4 linked regions of the Macaca mulatta genome follow. The protein of the gene in region 2 interacts with the protein of the main gene of each other region in a pairwise test. Links are inferred from orthologs where the notes say so. Each region holds a gene or a part of one and is shown on either strand. Other genes may lie near its edges.

What was found.
Region 1: the proteins of RBM17 (region 2) and CCHCR1 interact in binary tests that used the Homo sapiens proteins (3 or more experiments, as listed by UniProt). The link is inferred for Macaca mulatta from reciprocal best matches to the Homo sapiens genes RBM17 and CCHCR1.
Region 3: the proteins of RBM17 (region 2) and PPP1R12C interact in binary tests that used the Homo sapiens proteins (3 or more experiments, as listed by UniProt). The two-hybrid records come from large-scale screens. The link is inferred for Macaca mulatta from reciprocal best matches to the Homo sapiens genes RBM17 and PPP1R12C.
Region 4: the proteins of RBM17 (region 2) and QRICH1 interact in binary tests that used the Homo sapiens proteins (3 or more experiments, as listed by UniProt). The two-hybrid records come from large-scale screens. The link is inferred for Macaca mulatta from reciprocal best matches to the Homo sapiens genes RBM17 and QRICH1.

The regions. Positions count from the first base shown.
Region 1 is NC_133409.1:151,910,255-151,915,526, reverse strand, and holds part of CCHCR1 (coiled-coil alpha-helical rod protein 1), read right to left. Parts: intron 4,648-5,272; coding exon 4,344-4,647; intron 1,239-4,343; coding exon 1,075-1,238; intron 977-1,074; coding exon 841-976; intron 682-840; coding exon 571-681; intron 329-570; coding exon 179-328; intron 1-178. UniProt on the Homo sapiens protein: May be a regulator of keratinocyte proliferation or differentiation.
Region 2 is NC_133414.1:7,673,972-7,679,243, reverse strand, and holds part of RBM17 (splicing factor 45), read right to left. Parts: intron 3,178-5,272; 5' UTR 3,160-3,177; coding exon 3,037-3,159; intron 1-3,036. UniProt on the Homo sapiens protein: Splice factor that binds to the single-stranded 3'AG at the exon/intron border and promotes its utilization in the second catalytic step. Involved in the regulation of alternative splicing and the utilization of cryptic splice sites.
Region 3 is NC_133424.1:67,408,778-67,412,834, reverse strand, and holds part of PPP1R12C (protein phosphatase 1 regulatory subunit 12C), read left to right. Parts: intron 1-29; coding exon 30-103; intron 104-185; coding exon 186-313; intron 314-423; coding exon 424-494; coding exon of another isoform or gene 495-497; intron 498-756; coding exon 757-915; intron 916-996; coding exon 997-1,064; intron 1,065-1,550; coding exon 1,551-1,688; intron 1,689-1,906; coding exon 1,907-1,997; intron 1,998-2,313; coding exon 2,314-2,394; intron 2,395-2,470; coding exon 2,471-2,531; intron 2,532-2,676; coding exon of another isoform or gene 2,677-2,679; coding exon 2,680-2,762; intron 2,763-2,884; coding exon 2,885-2,925; intron 2,926-3,002; coding exon 3,003-3,105; intron 3,106-3,233; coding exon 3,234-3,338; intron 3,339-3,654; coding exon 3,655-3,705; intron 3,706-3,860; coding exon 3,861-3,911; intron 3,912-4,003; coding exon 4,004-4,057. UniProt on the Homo sapiens protein: Regulates myosin phosphatase activity.
Region 4 is NC_133407.1:112,478,117-112,483,388, forward strand, and holds part of QRICH1 (transcriptional regulator QRICH1), read right to left. Parts: intron 3,433-5,272; coding exon 3,255-3,432; intron 2,735-3,254; coding exon 2,580-2,734; intron 386-2,579; coding exon 271-385; intron 1-270. UniProt on the Homo sapiens protein: Transcriptional regulator that acts as a mediator of the integrated stress response (ISR) through transcriptional control of protein homeostasis under conditions of ER stress.

The DNA of each region.
Region 1 (5,272 bases), on a different chromosome or scaffold from region 2:
TTTACGTGCGTGTTCTGTGTCTCTGCTCTAGAATGCAAGCTCCACATTTCGGTTTTGTTCAGGGCTGTGTGCCCAGCATGTGGCAACCACTCAATAAACTCTGGTTGAATGGATGCCACTCTTATGGAAGGAGCAAGGTGCTGGGAGGGAATACTGGGAGAACAGAGAGTGCAGTGACCTGTCCCTTCAGCTGCTTAACAGAGTCGCTGTGTTCCAGCTCCTGGGCCTTTAGCTGCACCATGAGGGCAAACACCTTCTCCCGCCAGCGGTTCAGCAGGGACTGGCACTTCCTGGTAAACTCAGGCTCCAGCGAATCTGAAGGTTGAACCTGAGGGAGAAGGAGCGGGAGGAAAGTGTGGGCTCCTGGGGGAGGAGAGGAAGGAGGTGGCATCTTTGTTTCTCCTCTGTCTTGCCCGGACAACATGAGCTACAGCAAGAGGAGTTCACAGGAAGAAAGAGATCCAAGCAGGTTCTGGGGCACATCGAACCCTCCCACCCACAGGGAGGAGGGTGGGGGACAGTAGGTGTAGGATGCGGCTGAGGGTGAGGGATCTGGGGGTCGGGCCATACCTTCCTGGTCAGCTCCTCCTCCTGCAGGGCGAGGATGTGCGTGAGGCTCTGCACCCGCACCTGTAGCAGCTCCGCGGTGGCGTGCAGGCCATCCCGGTCCTCCTGCAAGTGCTGCGGGCGGAGAGAAGCAGCCCCCCTGTAGGGCCTCCATGCCGCCTCGGGTACCACCTTCTCTCCTGAGGGCTGTGCTCTACACGCTCCTCCAAGGGCCACACTTGCCCCCCAACCTGATCCCCAAGTCCCCACACAGATGCACTCCTGCACACTCACCTGCATGTTTTCCAGAAACTTCTGTCGCTCCAGTTCCCATGTCTGGCTGTGGACCTCAGGAGGGACTTGTTCCCCAACATATTTTCTTAGATTCTCAACCAGGGTCACCTGAGCCTCCAAGTCTTCCTGGGTCTTGCTAGGGTTGGGGTGGGAATGGGACAGCCATCAGTGGGGCACCCTGCAGACCCACCACATCACCAACTGCTGGGCCCCCGTCGGCATCCACCCACCTACCTCAGCTGCTTCCGAAGCAGCTCGGCCTCCCTCTGAGCCTCGGCCAGCTCCTTGGCTTCCCCTGCTCTCCTGGTTTCCAGACTACTCAAAGACTGCTCCAAGCCCTCGGCCTTGCTGGTCAAACTGGAAAGAGCCTCCTGGTGAGCCTGTGTCAAAGAGGACAGCTGTGGAAAGAAGAGGAGGCTCAGCAGGAGCTCGACCCCACATGGAGGCCTTCCTTGTTCCCTTCACTCCCACTTTCTGTGACCTTAGACAATGACCAAACCAATCACCCAACTGCGCATAGCAAATGGAGAGCTGGTAACTCACTCTCTGCAGTTGCCCCACAACCCATCGGGAGTTCTTGTTCAATCTCCCCCAAAACATATCTTCACCTCTCTCCGTCTCCGTCTCCACTGCCACCAACCCAAGGTAAGCTACCCTCATCTCTTGCCTGGGCAACAGGGACCATCTCCTAACTAGTCTTTACAAACCCTCGGTGGCTTCTCACAGCATTCACAGCAAAACCCAGGCATCTCTCCACACCTGCAGGCCGGGGGACCCAGCCTCTGCCTGCCTCCTGAGTTCACCCTAGAGGCTCTCCTAATGCTCCCCCCTCCAGCCACAGGGAGTCCGCTGAGAACCAGACAGCGGCCCCTCCTTGCTCCACAGACCCCAGGTGATAGCCCCTCCTCAGGGTGGCTTCGCTGGGCCCTCTAATAACTCTCACCACCCTCCTGTGCCCCATCAACTGCTCACGTCCTCCCGAGCACTTAGCACTGACCATATCTTGCTTATGTGTATGTGTTACTATCTTTCAGACCACATCGGAAGGAAAGCTCCAGGAAAGGAGGAATTTTGTGTCTTTTGCTCATGGCACCTCAAAGGGTTGCAGGGGTGTCAGAGCCACCAACAGTCATGGGATGGACTGGGAAGGAGGGCAAAGTGGCCACCCTGCTTCCTGGTCTGCCTCCTCTAGCCCCGTCTCCATACAACAATAAAGTTAATTTGGGGGATATAAATGACAAAACTTTTTAGACATAAAATACAAATCTAATCATGTCATTTCCCTGCCTAAAACCTTTCAACAGTTGCTTATCACTTAAAAAAACAATTTTGTTTTCTTTTTGTTATTTTGGAGATGGAGTTTCACTTTGTTGCTCAGACTAAGTGCAATGGCACAATCTCAGCTCACTGCAAACGCTGCCTCCCAGGTTCAAGCGATTCTCCTGCCTCACCCTCCCGAGTAGCTGAGATTACAGGCATGAGCCACCACGCCCAGCTAATTTTTGTACTTTTAGTAGAGATGAGGTTTCACCATGTTGGCAGGGCTGGTCTCGAACTCCTGACCTCAAGTGATCCACCCACCTCAGCTTCCCAAAGTGCTGGGATTACACATGTGAGCAACTATGCCCAGCCCTAGTTTATTTAATAAAATAGAGATGGGGGCTCACTTTGTTGCCCAGGCTGGTCTCAAACTCCTGGGCTCAAGTGATCCTTCTGCCTTAGCCTCCCAAAGTGCTAGGATTACAAGTATGAGCCACCGTGCCCAGCCTGCTCATTGCTCTTAAGGGAAAGTAGCAAGTTCTGAAGTGGCCAAGGCCTTGTGCCCTGGGTCCCATGCTCTGCAGCACACTCAGCGCCCCTGATCTCTATGCTCCAGCCTTCTGGCCTCCGCCTGTCCCCGCCTCCACCAGTTGTCCTGCCGAGTGTTCTCCAGAGACCATTGGACCTCACACACCTATTCACTGGCCAACTCCTATTCAGCACAAATGGTGGCTTGCTGGTTTTTTTCAGTCTCGCTCTGCTGCCCAGGCTGGAGTGTGGTGATCTCAGCTCACTGTAACCTCTGTCTCCCAGGTTCAAGCAATTCTCCTGCCTCAGCCTCCCAAGAAGCTGGGGCATTACAGGCGCCCATCGCCATACCCGGCTAATTTCTGTATTTTTTGTAGAGACTGGGTTTCTTCATGTTGGCCAGACTGGTCTTGAACTCCTGGCCTCAAGTGATCCTGCCCACCTCAGCCTCCCAAAGTGCTGGGATTACAGGTGTGAGCCACTGTGCCCGGCCTAGCTTCTTGTTTCTGAGTTTCTTTCATGAATCTCCTTTGTCCACTTTCTGACTGGATTGCTGGTCTTTCCCTTACCAATTTCTAGGCACACATTTTATATTAGGGATATTACCCTTTTCTTGTGATCTGAGCTATAAATAGAGCTTTTTTTTTTTTTTCCCCACCATTCCTAATGTTCATGTTATAAAGTCAATGGATCAATCTTTTCCTTTACGGCTTCTAGATTTTGGATTTTGACTCACAGGTAGAAAGGCCTTGCCCACTACAAGGTTACAAAGAATTTCTCCCTTGTTTTCTCCCAGTTCCTTTTTTATTTTATTTTTTGCGACAGAGTCTTGCTCTGTTGCCCAGGCTGGAGTGCAATGGCATAATTTCGGCTCACTGCAACCTCCACCTCCCAGGCTCAAGTGATTCTCCTGCCTCAGCCTCCTGAGTAGCTGGGATTACAGGTGTGCATCACCATGCCTGGTGAATTTTTGTATTTTTAGTAGAGACGGGGTTTCACCATGTTGGCCAGGCTGGTCTTGAACTCCTGACCTTGTGATCCACCTGCTTCGGCCTCCCAAAATGCTGGGATTACAGGCGTGAGCCACTGCACCCGGCCTTATGGTTTCTTTCCTTGACATGTCCAATTGGTTACAGTGGCCTTCCCTGAACCCCAGACTAAGTTAGTGCTCTCTAGTCCTTCGCCTTCAAGGCACTCCTCCTGATTGCAATTAATTATGATTAAATTAAAAGTGGATGTGTGTATCCCCCATGAGGCTGTCAGTTCCATCCATGAAGGCAGGATTCAGGCTAATTTGGTCACTGAGTCTGAGATGGCAAAGAGTAAGCACTGAGTTTGCGGACTGAATAATCTCTCTCTCCCAGTCCACCATAGCCCCCTTATATCCACCTTCCTCACTGCCCTCCACAATACCCCCGATGAATTGGTACCCAGAGTAAAGCAGGGAGGCAAACTACTTCCTACTAGAAAAGGAAGCAGGGCTTCAAGTCGTGGGAGGCCACCTGAGTCTTGGGGAAAAAGTGCAACCTGAATTAAGATCAAAATAACCAAATTCTCCATCTTTCTAGGCCATGTGTGTTTCTTTTCACCAAAGGTCTCATCACTCCACTACTCACTACTCATGGAGAGTCTCTTCTGCAATACCTGTTCTTTGCTTGGAAGCTACTGCCCAGCTCTCCGTTATGAATTTAAATCCTTCCCACCCCTGCATTCACCTGCTCTTGGTGCAGCCTCTGAACCTCTTCCAGCTCGCGCTGGCTCCCCTCTTCCAAGTTCTTCCGGACGACCTCAGCCCCAGCCAAAGCAGCACGCAGGCCCTCAGCCTCAGCTCGGCCGGCCTTCTCTGCCTGTGCCAGGGCCTCCAGCTCCATGGCCTGGGCCTCTAGCCTCATCTTCTGCTGCAGTGAGGTCTCCCGCAGGAGCCGGACCTCCTCCTCCAGCCGCCGCAGTTCTTGCAACTGCCGAGCGATCACCTCAGCCTGCTGGCTCAGGGCCTGTGACCCCTCCAGCTCCCAGGACCTTCAAAGACAGGTTAGTGCAGGTGAGACTTGTCTCCAGTGCTGGAAGGATAGTTGAGGGTGTAAACATAGCCAGAAGGAAAAGAGGACCTCTCTGCCCCCGTGTGAGGAGGTGAAGGGGGTGCTGAAGCTGGGGTATGGGGATGTCTGCATTGACATCATCATCATTCATCAAAGCCCTATTGAGCATGTTAAGTCCAGTGCCTGGACTCACAGGACCTAAAGTCTGGCTGAGATGATGGAACATGATCTCCCTAGAGAGAGCTACATACAGACAGATTCAACATCAAATGTGTATATCATTAGGCCACACATTCTTTTTGTTTTTTGGTGTTTTTTTGTCTTATTTATTTTTTATTTTTAGGCCACACATTTTAAGTGGAAAGGTTGGAAGAACAGAGACTTCTCAATTCTGATTTAAGGGCAAGAAGTTTGAGGGAGGAATGGGCATAGAGAGAGCTGAGCTTCCAGTATCAATATGGTGAGGCCAGGTGCTAGTTAAAATGCATTTATTGAGTGTTAGGTATACTTTATGAGGAGTCTGAGAGAACAGTACATAAATAACATAGTGCCAGCCTTTGGAGACATTGTCTACCAATATCATGTGAAGTTTAATCTAGCTTGGA
Region 2 (5,272 bases):
AAAGGCACAAAATAAGCCTTCATCTCTCCTGAATATAACAATACTTATAAATTTAAGCAAACAAAATTTAACCCAATTAACAACTCACAAAGTAAATATGAAAGTTTAAAGAATGGAAGGGGGATTTATTAGAATCACATCTTTTCTTTTTTTTTTTTTTGAGATGGAGTCTTGCTCTGTCGCTAGGCTGGAATACAGCGGTTCGATCTAGGCTCACCGCAACCTCCGCCTCCCAGGTTGAAGCAATTCTCCTGTCTCAGCCTCCAGAGTAGCTGGGATTACAGGCGCATGACACCACACTGGGCTAATATTTGTATTTTTATTAGAGACAGGGTTTCACCATGTTGGTCAGGCTGGCCTCAAACTCCTGACCTCAGGTGATCCACCCGCCTCGGCCTCCCAAAGCGCTGGGATTACAGGTGCGAGCCACCGTGCCCAGTCAGAATCACGTATTTTCTATTATTTTCTATTCAATATAGAGTTGGCCCTCTGTATCTACAGGTTCCACATATCTAACCCCAGGATGAAAATATTAAGAACATAAAACAATACAAGAAAAAATACAAATTAAAAAACCAATACGGTATAACAACTTTTTACACAGCATTTACATTGTGTTAGGTATTGCAAGCAATCCAGAGATTATTTAAAATATGGGAAGATATGTGCTGGTTATGTGCAAACTCCACACCATTTTATATAAGGGACTTGGGCAGTCTTGGATTTTGGTATCCGGTGCGGGGGGATCCTCGAACCAATCCCCTGTGGACACCAAGAAACAACTTTGTATTTTTCAAATGGAGATACAAATGAAACCACAGCTTCAAATTTTCTCTACCAAATAAATATCTTTACAGGTTTGGCTAGGCCAATCTAGTATTCTGAGTAACTAAACAGCCTAAGAGAATGCAATCTTCATTTCCCTTAAACAAACAAACAAACAAACCCACAAAACTAACTGTACATAGCAATCTCAAAAGTTTTAGAAAGTTAGTAGAAATAACTTCACAAGCTACCTCAAGTTTTAAAAATCTATATGAGGCCGGGCATGGTGGCTCACATCCACATCTTTCCTGCAAAGCAAAAGTTACATGAAATCTACAAAGATTTTATACATTTACTTTTTTAAAAAATTAAAGAGAAAAACGAGGTTTTGCTAACCTTCCTTACATTTGGAATGAAAACTTGCTTTAAAAAAACAAAAAATACTCGCATCCAAAAAATCTAAATTTGGTAATGATGAATTTTAAAAAGACAAAAAAACTTCTACAATACTGAACAATCAAACGTAAGCACTTCCATGTAAGTATCTATTGATGTGGTAAAGGGAAAAGAAAAATGAGTAAAACTTTAAAAAAAAACCCTGTGTATTATGGAAATTTTCAAACATGAAATTAAAGAGATTATAAATTCTTAAGTCTCTGCTATCCAGTTTCAACCATTACCAACTCATGGGTAGTTCTGTTCTTCCCTCCCTCCCCTGCCTGGTACTGAATTGTTTCGAAGTAAATCCCAAAAATGACATCATCTTATCAGTAAATATTTCAGCATGTATCTCTAAAGTACTTTTTCTCAAGTTTAATTATTGCCTCCCCAACAAGGAGCCTTTTAATACATTTTTTCCGACACATGAAATTTTAACACTGTGCACAATATGAGCAAGATTTTTTTGCCCCCCAAAAGACCAACATTCGCTCCGTTTGGGGGGATATAGCCTCCACTGCGAATGCAAACTCTAGAGCATAACGACCTCTAAAATAGTAAACAAATCATACCATTCTCATGCCTACATTTTAATGGCAAATATCCAGTCGACAACTATGTTTTTAATGTTTTACATGTTGAGTTATTTCAAGGACATTGCCAATATCCAACATGCACACAACAGAAACAAAAGCAATTAGCATCCAGACTACATATGCCTGACACCTTCACAACCAACCCCAGCCCTCAATAAGTTACACCCAGCAGCTTAGGTATTCTGTGGAGCTTCTTCCCAAAGTGCTGCTTCCAAACTACCGCCAACAAACCAGTAGGAATGCTACTTAAAAATGCCCACTCCTGGGGCTCCAGTCTAAACTAGAGTTTACCAGAATATCAGGAGTATGGCTACACAATCAGCACCTTAAACAAGTTCTCACTCAATCTTAGACCTCCACTACTTAAGTTTGAAAACCAGTGTCACTGCTGGTTCAGAGTACCAGTTTTGCTTTGTTTGTTTGTTTTTTTGAGACAGAGCCTTTTTTTTTTTTTTTTTTTGAGACGGAGTCTCGCTCTGTCGCCCAGGCTGGAGTGCAGTGGCCGGATCTCAGCTCACTGCAAGCTCCGCCTCCCGGGTTCACGCCATTCTCCTGCCTCAGCCTCCCGAGTAGCTGGGACTACAGGCGCCCGCCACCTCGCCCGGCTAATTTTTTGTATTTTTTAGTAGAGACAGGGTTTCACCGTGTTAGCCAGGATGGTCTCAATCTCCTGACCTCGTGATCCGCCCATCTCGGCCTCCCAAAGTGCTGGGATTACAGGCTTGAGCCACCACGCCCGTCCTGAGACAGAGTCTTGCTGTGTCACTCAGGCTGGAGTGCAGTGGCGCAATCTCTGCCTCCCAGGTTCATGCCATTATCCTGCCTCAGCCTCCCGAGTAGCTGGGACTAAAGGCACCCACTCACCATGCCCAGCTAATTTTCTGTATTTTTAGTAGAGACGGGGTTTCACCGTGTTGGCCAGGACGGTCTCCCATCTCCTGACCTCATGATCTGCCTGCCTTGGCCTCCCAAAGTGCTGGGATTACAGGCGTGAGCCACCGTGCCCAACCCCACAGAGTACTGTTTTTCTTCATTCCTATCCCATGAAATGTTCCCATTCCCAGGAGCCAGGAGCAGCAAAGCGGCCTTAAACTCCTCATTCCTCTCCCCCTACAAATGTTTAACACCATTTACCCAATACAAAGGCAGAAGAGCAAGCTGAAACCAAACTCCTTGTCATCCTAATGAGCAACCCACTCTGGAGGCCTCTGCTCTCCTGCTCTGGGCTTGTCTTTACCTTTGCCTGAGTGAGAGCTGCCTTCTTCACCTGAAGCTGAGACTGCAGAAGTTTGAAGTTTTTGGACCAGCCTTCTGTTTTTGAGTCACTGGTCTCCACTCCTAGGTCATCGTACAGGGACATCTTTTCTTCAGTTTAATGCTGAAAGGCAAAAGGGGTGGGGATTAAAGAATGCACAATTCAATAAAGGCTTTTCATGTTAAAATAAAAATCACGAAATTTTAGAGGTAAAAGGTCCAGGACCTTTCAGCAACAGAGGCCAAGGCTCCTGGTACCATTAATGCAGGGTTCTTCCCGATATATGAAGCTACACCATGTATTATTTTTAAAATAAGGCTCTAGAATTCATTTTTCCATCTACAAGACCATGCAGTCAGGTGATCCATGAGTGAAATCCTTCAAAGCTAGGGCACATAATGAGGTAAGAATTGAGACATTATTAATTACATATATCCAATGTTTAAAAAATTCTATTCATGTCAGTGCCAAAAAGTAGAAGCCTTAAAAACACAAATTACCAGGTTGATTTAGCACAATTAGCTACCCTTTCATAAAGAAAAAATTTAAACATACTCTTAGGGAAAAAAGTGACAGAAATGACCTCTTAGATGTGATTTTGTCAATTACGATTATCGGCGGGGGGGGGGGGGGGGGGGCGGTGCTGGTTATATCTTAAATACTATGACTTCCTCATATCCCCCCCAAGTGGAAACTTGTCATCTTTAATGATAGCAATTACAAAGAGACAATCAACAATCTGCATGTGAACAAGCAACACACAGCTTCCGTGCAGAACAGAGGAACACGTGAAAACAAAAATCAAGTCAGCAGGCACAAAGCATGACATGCAATGCAGCATCGGCAGCAGGTCCCATGAAAGCCCAGCACTGTACAGACATGGATGCTGGGGTTTAGGGAATCAATCTGCCCAAGGCCACAGTGGAAGCCCCTTCCAACCCAGCCAGGCCAACTCCAGAGCCCTCACCAGTGAACCCCAACTGCCACTTTTAAAAAAAAACTCAACATTCCGAAACCCACCGACATGCTTACTTCTTCAAATAAGAAATCAATCTCACAGACAGAAAGAGAACATAATTTAAACAGAAACCCACAAGTTGCAAGCAAATGCTTAGCACAGTAGTTCCCAATTTATGGACAAATTCCCAAAGTCTGTCAGTTCCCAGGGGGCCCATAAAGCATTTTCCCATGGAAACAGTGTTATCGAAAAGCCTAATTTGCTTGTGTTCTGTGGCTCAGAAGAGAAGGAAAATATTTAACACACATCCTCCTTAGGTCTGACTCGGCAAGCATTTCTCTTGAAGGTACTCTTACTTCTCAGCTCCTCCATTACCAGGATTCTAACACCCTGCCACCCCAACACCTTAGCTGATGTTGGTACCACACTGTTTGGAGTGAGGGACGGAGTGCACACCAACTTCTGTTCCCTCAGAAGAACTGCCCTGGTCTTAAGTACAGGAACTCCCTGCCTGAAGTCAGCATCCAGAAAACTGGTACCACTTTTTAGTTTCTTCCATTCCTTCATAGGTGAACCCTCCGATTAATTAAAACCTCTCCCTTTTCCTTCATACGTGAACACTCCGATTAATTAAAACCTCTCCATTTTGATTTTTAAATGAAAGGCCCCCCAAGGCCGTACAGAAGCAGGGAAAGCAGACTGTCCAGGGGTATCGACGGCTGACTGCGCAAACGAATCACATTAAGAATGAAGGGATGGCGGCTGCGGTGGCTCACACCTGTAATCCCAGCACTTTGGGAGGCATAGGAGGGCGGATCACTTGAGGTCAGGAGTTCCAGATCAGCCTGGCCAACATGGTGAAACTCTGTCTCTATTAAAAATACAAAAATTAGCTGGGCGTGGTGGTGGACGACTGTAATTCCAGCTACTCGGGAGGCTGAAGCATGACAATCGCCTGAATCTGGGAGGCGGATGTTGCAGTAAGCCAAGATCACACCACTGCACTCCAGCCTGGGCGATAGATCGAGAGTCCGCCACCTCCCCTCCTCCCGCCCCCGCCAAAAAAAAGAATGAAGGGATGCTGGGATGCAGACAGACTCTCCTCCTGATTGACATCTTCATTGCCAAACTGCACTTTCTCAGGAACTTGGGGATGACGTCTCATGACACAGGCCTGAAGCACTGAGGCCAAATCAGGAAAAAATAATGAACTCCATTCTTTAACAAATATGGCTGAAATATAACCATGTCCTCAAAGTC
Region 3 (4,057 bases), on a different chromosome or scaffold from region 2:
TCCCCTGCAGCCTCCTTCCCTCCTTGCAGCTTCGGAACCAAAAAGAAGCTTCCCAGAGCCGGGGCCAGGAGCCCCAAGCGCCCTGTAGCAGCAGACACAGAAGGTATAGGGAGGGAGGAGTCTGGGGCTGGCGGGTGGCTGGAGGCCCCGGGCTTGCACCCCAGCACCCTCTCCTTCCCCAACAGGAGCTCTGTGTGTCGTCTGAGCAGTCGAGAGAAGATTTCCCTCCAGGACTTGTCCAAGGAGCGCCGGCCTGGTGGGGCTGGGGGGCCCCCCATCCAGGACGAGGATGAGGGGGAAGAAGGTCCCGCCGGTGAGGAGCCTGAATCCGGACTCCTGGGTCCGAGGGAGGAGGGGTCGGGTTCTCTGAATCTAGAGGCAGCTGGCATCTTCTGTGACCTACCCGGTGTTCCCACATCACAGAGCCACGCCCTGCAGAGCCCGGAACCCTCAATGGCGTCTCCTCCCCACCGCACCCGAGTCCTAAGAGCCCCGTGGTGAGTGGATGCCCTGAGAGGTCCTGTGAGGCCGGGAGGGCCGGGAGGTGGGAGTCCATAAAGCCTGTGAACCTCTGGCAGGGGCAGGTAGGGTGAAGACTGTAGTTCCCAGAGTCCTCCTGGACAACCGGCTTCCTTTGTAGGTTGCGCTTGCCCCAGGGGCTGATGGGAATTGTAGTTTGGTGCAGTCCTTTGGGGGCTAACCCTTGAGGTCTGAGAAGAGGGATCCTTTCTCCCTGAGACCTCCTTCTTCTCCCAGCCGCCTGAAGAGGCCCCCTTCTCCAGGCGCTTTGGCCTCCTGAAGACAGGGAGTTCTGGTGCCCTGGGTCCCCCGGAAAGGCGGATGGCAGAGGGAGCCCCGGGGGCTGGGCTGCAGCGCTCGGCTTCCTCCTCCTGGCTGGAAGGGACCTCCACCCAGGTGAGTGAGGGTTGGGCGGGGTCCGGGCCCAGGCCCCTGCCCAGTTGGGGGAACTGCCCCTTCCTCCTCCTCTCCACACAGGCCAGGGAGCTCCGTCTTGCCAGAATTACCCCGACCCCCTCCCGGAAGCTGCCGGAGCCCTCTGTCCTGTGAGTCCCCAAGGCCTGGGCCCCTCGGGGGTAGGCGGCAGATGTGGGTTCCAAGCCTGTCCGTATGATCCTGAGTGAGCCCGTGTACCCCCCGGGTCTGATTCCTGCTCCCACCCCAGAGCCTGTGCTGTGTTCCTCCTGGCGGCTGGCTCCCTCCCTCAAGCCCGTGTTGAAACGTCACCTTCTCCCCATCATCCCCCACCCCGAGGCGCACGGACCACCTGCTGCCACCTCTGCGCCGTCGGCACATGCCCCTGCCGCTCCGCTCCCAGTTCTCGCGCTGCTGCTTCTGTCCAGCGTGCTTTACCCTTCTGACCGGCTGGGTAGAGTGCTGGTCTTTTCATGGCTGTTGTCAGTTTTGTGTATTTCTGCTCAGCTCTGACTCTGGTGGCCCAGATAATTTGTTTCTTTTGTTCACGGCTGCATCTCCAGTGCCGGCACACAATGCACCTGGGTAATGTTTGTTGAATGAATGAATTGATGCAGGTCTGAGGTCACCAAGCCTCCTCCTTGCTTGGAGAACTCCTCGCCTCCCTCCAGGATTCCGGAGTCTGAATCTCCAGCGAAGCCAAACGCCCCCACCGCCTCCACAGCACCCCCAGCGGACTCCCGGGACCGACGGAGGTGCAGAGGCCAGGGCAGGAAGCTGCCGCCCCAGCCAGCAGAGACTATGTCAAGCCGGAGTCCCGGGGCTCTGGGTGGGCTCCTGAGGGAGGGCTGGCCCCGGGTCTGCTGGGAGTTGGAGTCGCCTCCCACAGAACTTGCCTCCCGCGGAGGGTGCCCGCCACGGAATGGGACAGGGTCCCCAGTGCCCCTCCCTGAGGTTGGGACCCTTCCCTCAGGTCCTACCAGATGCCTGTGCGGGATGAGGAGTCGGAATCCCAGAGAAAAGCTCGCTCCCGTCTCATGCGCCAGTCTCGGAGGTCCACGCAGGTGTGGGGTGGGCTGGGGTCTGGACTCCTGGGTCTGAGGGAGGAGGGGACTGGGGGGTCTGGACTCCCGGGTCTGAGGGAGGAGGGGCTGGGGGTCTGGACTCCTGGGTCTGAGGGAGGAAGGACTGGGGGTCTGGACTCCTGGGTCTGAGGGAGGAGGGACTGGAGTCTGGACTCCTGGGTCTGAGGGAGGAGGGACTGGGGTCTGGACTCCTGGGTCTGAGGGAGGAGGGACTGGAGTCTGGACTCCTGGGCCTGAGGAAAGAGGAGCTGGGCCCTGACCCCAGCCTCCCCTGACTGTCCCCTTTCCCTGCCAGGGTGTGACTCTGACAGACCTGAAGGAGGCAGAGAAGTCTGCAGGGAAGGCCCCAGAGTCAGAGAAGCTGGCGCAGAGCCTGGTGAGAGGGGTCAGCGAGGGCGCGTGGGGTGGTGCGGGATGTCCTGGTCCCCTGACTCACCAACCCCTCCCGACAGGACCCTTCCCGGAGGCCCCGCGTCCCTGGAGTGGAGAACTCCGACAGCCCGGCCCAGAGAGGTGAGGTCTGCTCTCTGGGGGAGGTCATTCCCCGGGAATCATCGTCTCTCCGAGTCTTCCTGCTTTCCTGGGGGCTTGACCTGGGGACCCGGGCCCCCAGAGGCGTCTCTGGAGGTGCCTGGACTGATTCCTGCCCCTCCCCCAGCAGAGGCGCCTGACGGGCAGGGTCCAGGACCGCAGGCGGCCAGGGAGCCCCGCAAGGTCGGAAAGGAGTGGAGGGGGCCTGCGGAGGTGAGGGGGGCTCAGGTGGGGCCGGGCTGGTGCAGAGGGTGGGCCGGAGGGCGGGCAAAGCCCCTCCCATACCCACTAAAGCCCCTCCCATGCCCATTGAACCCCTCTCTACCTGCCCACAGGGGGAGGAGGCGGAGCCGGCTGACCGCAGCCCGGAGTCCAGGTAGGGGCGGGGTGGGAGAGGTGGGGCCTGCGTGCGGCCCGGGCCGGCCCCTGACGCGCGTTCCGCCCCCGCCCCAGCACCCTGGAGGGCGGCCCCTCGGCCCGCAGGCAGCGGTCACAGCGGGACCTCCACCCAGAACCTGAGCCAGAGTCGGAGGAGCAGGACGGAGGCTTTAGGAAGGTGTGATCCCACCCCTCCTTTGGGGCTCCGCCTGCCGGGTGCCCACCTCCTGGCTTCCCTGCCCCCAGCGTCGCCCCTGCCCTCCACCTGACCCTCCTCCGCCTGACCCTCCTCCACCCGACCCCCAGCTGTATGCAGAGCTGCGCAGGGAGAACGAGCGGCTTCGCGAGGCTCTGACCGAGACCACGCTGCGGCTGGCGCAGCTCAAGGTGGAGCTGGAGCGGGCCACGCAGGTAAAGGCGCCGAGGCCAGGGTCACCAGAACTGGCAGGGCCGCCTGGGTGGGGCTCAGACTGTTGGGAGGCAGAGCCTGGCCTGGAGGGGCCGATGGGGCTTCGCTCCACCTGAGGGCCTGGCCGAGATCTCGGAGGCGGGGTCTGAGCAAATGGGGGTGGGGCTGTGGGCTTGCTGGGGGCGGGGCCTGGCCCATGGGGGTGGGGCTGGTGGGCTGCCTAGTGGGCAGGCGGGTCCCCAGCAGGAACGTAGGACCCCTCCTGAGGGCAGTGCTGGCTTCCCCTGCTGACCCCTGTGCTTTCCGTGTCCTCACCAGAGGCAAGAGCGCTTCGCTGAGAGGCCAGCCCTTCTGGAGCTGGAGAGATTCGTGAGTAGGGACAGTAGGGACGGGAGCCAGAGGTGTTCCCAGCCTCACATCACTAAGTTTGGACCAAGAGAGCCACATTGCCCTTCCCAGCTGGCCCCCGGCCTTCCCCTGTCCTCAGCCTCACTCGGTTTCTGAACTTTCCCTGTTCATTCCAGGAGCGCAGGGCCCTGGAACGCAAGGCTGCAGAGCTGGAGGAAGAGCTGAAGGTGGGGGCTGTGGGGGCTGTGGGCAGAGGGCCGAGGGTGGGCGGGGGCGCAACCCACCAGGGCTGCCCAGCTGACCCTTTGCCGTCCCCCAGGCCCTGTCTGACCTCCGCGCTGACAACCAGCGCCTCAAGGATGAGAATGCAGCG
Region 4 (5,272 bases), on a different chromosome or scaffold from region 2:
TTAATCAATACATTTTAATAGGAAAAAAAAAGATAGTAACTATCCCACTAGTTCTGCTTGTTCCTGTGTCCTTCCCACACTGGGACCAGCAAGGTTCTCTGGTGAGCAGTGCCTCTTCCCTATCAGGGCAAGTAGCACAGTGGCCAATGCTGCTGCAGTCTGGGATTTATATCCCCCTCACTCACATGCTTTTCACAGCCAACCACAGAAGCTGTTGATCTTTCTTAAATCCAGGTGGGAAAGATATCCAAGGACAAGGGAGACTCTTACCAAGTGGAGTGACCCGGGGCTGAACATCCTTCAGAACTTCATGTAGCCACTCCGTGAACCGAACATAATAAAGATCGGAGAAAATGTCATCTACCCTTCCATTTTCAAAAAGATACTAAAAGAAAAACAATTAATAGAAGTTATTGGTAGTCTCCTGAACAAGGCTTTCAGGGGAAATAAATATATTTTTCTACCAGTACTACTATCCTTCCCTACCCATTCACACCTCGACAAACTAAGGCACCAGCATGTGACACTTCCATAGTATGCTTAAGCTCATGTGACTGATTCTCATGACATTCTTGAGAGTTGGGTAAATAAGGCAGATGTTGTGAATGGTATTTCACCCAAGAAAGGCATTGTTTTGTGTTAGCAAAAATCATGAATAGGCTCTAGGGTCAGTCTTCCATTAGATATTGTGTAAGTTAAATAACATGTGCAAGTCTTTTAATTTCTGGGGTTCAGTTTCCTTGCCTGTAAATGGAGATGATGGTATCTGCCTTCCAGGACTGGGGAGAGCACAGAATGAAAGCATGTAAAGCAATTCACACAGTACTTAGGTTAGGACCACCGAGAGAGGAAAAAACTAGGAGGCAGACATGTCTCAAGACTAGGCCAACAGAATGAGTCCCAACCAGTAAGCCCTACTCTACTATACTGTGATTTCTCCTCAAAAGCCTTCAAGCACTAAAATATCCACCTCTGCTCCCTTGAACTGCCAGTCTGCAAATTTCCATTATGCTTCACAACAGATGTCCTGAAAACCTAACTACATTGGTATATTATTCTAGCTAGACTCCTTCAAATAAGTATTTAGTGTTAATGCAGGGAACAATGAGAAGGAAAGTTCTATGCTGGCACAAGACTTTGTTTTGAATAAATTACTTTCATGAAAATCAGGTTTACCTTAACAAAAAGAAAAGTGTTACATAAATGCTTTGTGAATTACACACAAAAAAAGGTCAAGGTAATTACCAATAATGTAACAGAAGTTTCTCTAGGTAGTAGGATGATGAATAATGTTTGTTTTCCTATTTTATTATTTATTTTATGCATTTATTTTTTAAGAGGCAAGGTCTTGCTTTGCAGCCCAGACTGAATGAAGTGCAATGGCACAATCATAGCTGACTGTAGCCTCGAACTGCTGAGCTCAAGCAATCCTCCTGCCTCAGCCTCCCAAACAGCTGGGACTACAGGTGTGCACCACCACACCCGGCTAATTATTTTTCTTTTCATTTTTGAGACAGGGTCTCACTCTGTCACCCAGGCTGGAGTGTAGTGGCATAATCATGACTCACTACAGCCCCAACCTCTGGGGCTTAAGCAATCCTCCCACCTCAGCCTCCCAAGCAGCTGGGACTACAGGCACGCACTACCATACCCAGCTAATTTTTTGTAGAGATGGGGTTTCACTATGTTGCCTAGGCTGGTCTCAAACTCCTGCGGCTCAAGCGATCCTCCTGCCTGAGCCTCCCAAAGTTCTGGGATTACAGGTGTGAGACATCTCGCTTGGCTGTTATTTTTTTTCTTTTCTTTTTTTTTTGAGACAGAGTCTCGCTCTGTTGCCCAGGCTGGAGTGCAGTGGCCGGATCTCAGCTCACTGCAAGCTCCGCCTCCCGGGTTTACGCCATTCTCCTGCCTCAGCCTCCCGAGTAGCTGGGACTACAGGCGCTCGCCACCTCGCCCGGCTAGATTTTTGTATTTTTTAGTAGAGACGGGGTTTCACCGTGTTAGCCAGGATGGTCTCGATCTCCTGACCTCGTGATCCGCCCATCTCGGCCTCCCAAGGTGCTGGGATTACAGGCTTGAGCCACCACGCCCGACCTCTTTTTTTTTTTTTTTTTTTAATTTTTGAGACAGAGTCTCGCTCTGTCGCCCAGGCTGGAGTGCAGTGGCGCGATCTCGGCTCACTGCAAGCTCCGCCTCCCGGGTTCACGCCATTCTCCTGCCTCAGCCTCCCGAGTAGCTGGGACTACAGGCGCCCACAACCGCGCCCGGCTAATTTTTTGTAATTTTTTAGTAGAGACGGGGTTTCACCGTGGTCTCAATCTCCTGACCTTGTGATCCGCCCGCCTCGGCCTCCCAAAGTGCTGGGATTACAGGTGTGAGCCACCACGCCCGGCCCCGGCTCTTATTTTCTAAAGTGAACATGTACGTTTTTAAAACTTAAAAAAATGTGCATTTTAAAACTCATTATATACCTGAAAGAGAACTTCCTTATTTTAACTTCTTGTTTGTCATTAACTAAACTAGCAAACATCCAACAGGAACACAGCTCAAACATGTTCTCATGAAGATCTGTTTCCTACCTTTTGAATACACAGGAAAATATAGTAGAGCACATCTGGGTCATAGGGTTCACCTTCTCCATTTCGAGCTTCCCGTGTCATTAGACAGAGCCCATAATTCAACTCTGCCACAGCAGAGGATATGAGATCTTCCTGGAATCGCAGCAGTTGGCGCCCTGCAACGAAAGCCCCAAAGATGAATGGAGGTCCTGGCAACCCAGGACGAATAGAGGTCCTGGGGGTCCATATCTGGAAGGCTCAGAACACATACTGCCCATGAGGGTGCTGGGACAGAAATGGTCACTTGTATCTACTGTAATGTTTCACGCCTGTAATGTCAGAACTGGCCTATCATGTGAGTATATGAGCCTAATGCCAAGAAAGAAGGGCTTGAGTGAGTGCCTACTACCTGGTTCCCATTTCCTCCCAGAAGCCACTGTGTTCAGGTCTGGTAGGGTCAACTCCTGAAACCCGTATGTCTAAAAATGCCTGGTTTTGCGCAAACCCCACACATCCTGCTTATTATGTACACAGGGTCAGTACTGCTTGTTGCTAGGACTGAATTCAACATACTATTACAGATGTTGCTCTCTTTTCCCCCAGACAGGGGATACCACTTTTCTGCCATTTTGTCCTCCTGTTACTTCAGTACCACTGCATTTTAGACAGAGCCCACTCTTCTTCCCAGACACTCACTCCCAATGGGTGCCAATCTGTTCTGAGCATCCTTCTCTAATTCAGCATTCTTGGTCTGGGCCCAGTTTTTCCATACTTCAAGCCCTTCTTCTGGCTTCAAAGAATTTGGAAGCAGAAGTTCTGGGGAAGGCTGTGGCTGTGACTGTGGTTCAACTTCAGCAACCTGGACAGTTTGAGCCTATAGGAAAGAAACCATGAAAATGTGTCAATAGTGTTTTATATTAGATCCTTCAGCAAAATTGCCAGAAAATTGTTATGTGTAGTTCATTTATTTAAGAAAATATTTCTCTACTCCTTGCTGTCCTACTTTTAAGAAGCTTTGCAGTTCTACCTCCTGCCCCAGGGACAGCAAAAGCAGCACTGCAACTGGGCTAGTGCCGTGATTCTCAGCTTTGTCTGCACTTTTAAATGTTTTTTTTTTTTTAGACGGAGTTTCGCTCTAGTCACTCAGGCTGGAGTGCAATGGCACAATCTCGGCTCACTGCAATGTCCGCCTCCCGGGTTCAAGTGATTCTCCTGCCTCAGCCTCCCGAGTACCTGGGATTACAGGCATGCACCACCACGGCCAGCTAATTTTATAATTTTAGTCGAGACAGGGTTTCATCATGTTGGTCAGGCTGGTCTTGAACTCCCAACCTCAGGTGATCTGCCCGCCTCGGCCTCCCAAAGTGCTGGGATTACAGGCGTGAACCACCGTGCCCGGTCAAATCTTTTATTTAAAAACACTAATAGCCAGACTTACCCCAGAATCTCTCTGAGGGGGAGCAAAGTATCAATCGTATAAAAACTCCTCAAGTAAGATTGCGCCACTGCACTCCAGCCTGGTGACAGAGCGAGACTCTGTCTCGGAAAAATAAAAAACAAAACAAAACAAAACAAAAGAACTCCTTGAGTAAAAAAGTAATTCTAATGTTTGGTCACCACTGAGAACTACTGGCTCAAAGCACTGCTTCCACAATCTTTTTCTTTTTTTTTTTTTGAGATGGAGTCTCGCTCCTGTAGTACAGGCTTGAGTGCAGTGGCACAATCTCAGCTCACTGTAACTTCCACCACCCGGATTCAAGCAATTCTCCTTCTTCAGCCTCCTGAGTAGCCAGGATTATAGGTGTGTGCCACCACACCTGGCTAATTTTTTTATTTTTAGTAGAGACGGAGTTTCTCCATGTTGGCCAGGCTGGTCTCGAACTCCTGACCTCAGGTGATCCACCTGCCTCAGCCTCCCAAAGTGCTAGGATTACAGGCGTGAGCCACTGCACCCGGCCCCCACAATCTTTAATGTGCAAACAAATCACTTGGGGATTATATCAAAATGTATATTGTGATTGAAAAGGGTGGGATCTGAGACTCAGCATTTCTTTTTTTTTTTTTTTTTTTTTGGCAGGGACAGAGTTTCGCTCTTGTTCTTTGGATGCTGGAGTGCAATGGCGGGATCTCGGCTCACCTCGACCTCTGTCCCCCAGGTTCAAGCGATTCTCCTGCCTCAGCCTCCCAACTAGCTAGAATTACAGGCATGTGCCACCACTCCCGGCTAATTTTGTATTTTTAGTAGAGATGGGGTTTCTCCAAGTTGGTCAGGCTGGTCTTGACTCCCAACTTTGCAATTTCCTACTTTTTGAAATTCTTTTTTTGAGCAAAGTCTTGCTCTGTCACCCAGACTAGAGAGCAGTGGCATGATCTTGGCTCACCATAACCTCGGCCTCCCAGGTTCAAGGCATTCTCCTGCCTCAGCCTCCCGAGTAGCTGGGATTATAGGTGTCTGCCATCATGCCCGGCTAATTTTTGTATTTTTAGTAGAGACGGGGTTTCACCATGTTGACCAAGCTGGTCTCAAACTCCTGACCTCAGGTGATCCGTCTGCCTTGGCCTCCCAAAATGTTAGGCTTACAGGCATGAGCCACCATGCCTGGGGAGATTCTAAAGAGATCCTTACACCCTAAAAAAATAAAATTCCAAGATTTTCCATTTTTTTAGTTTGGACTCTGATTTTGAAGGGCAAGAACTGAGTCACCACATGTTCA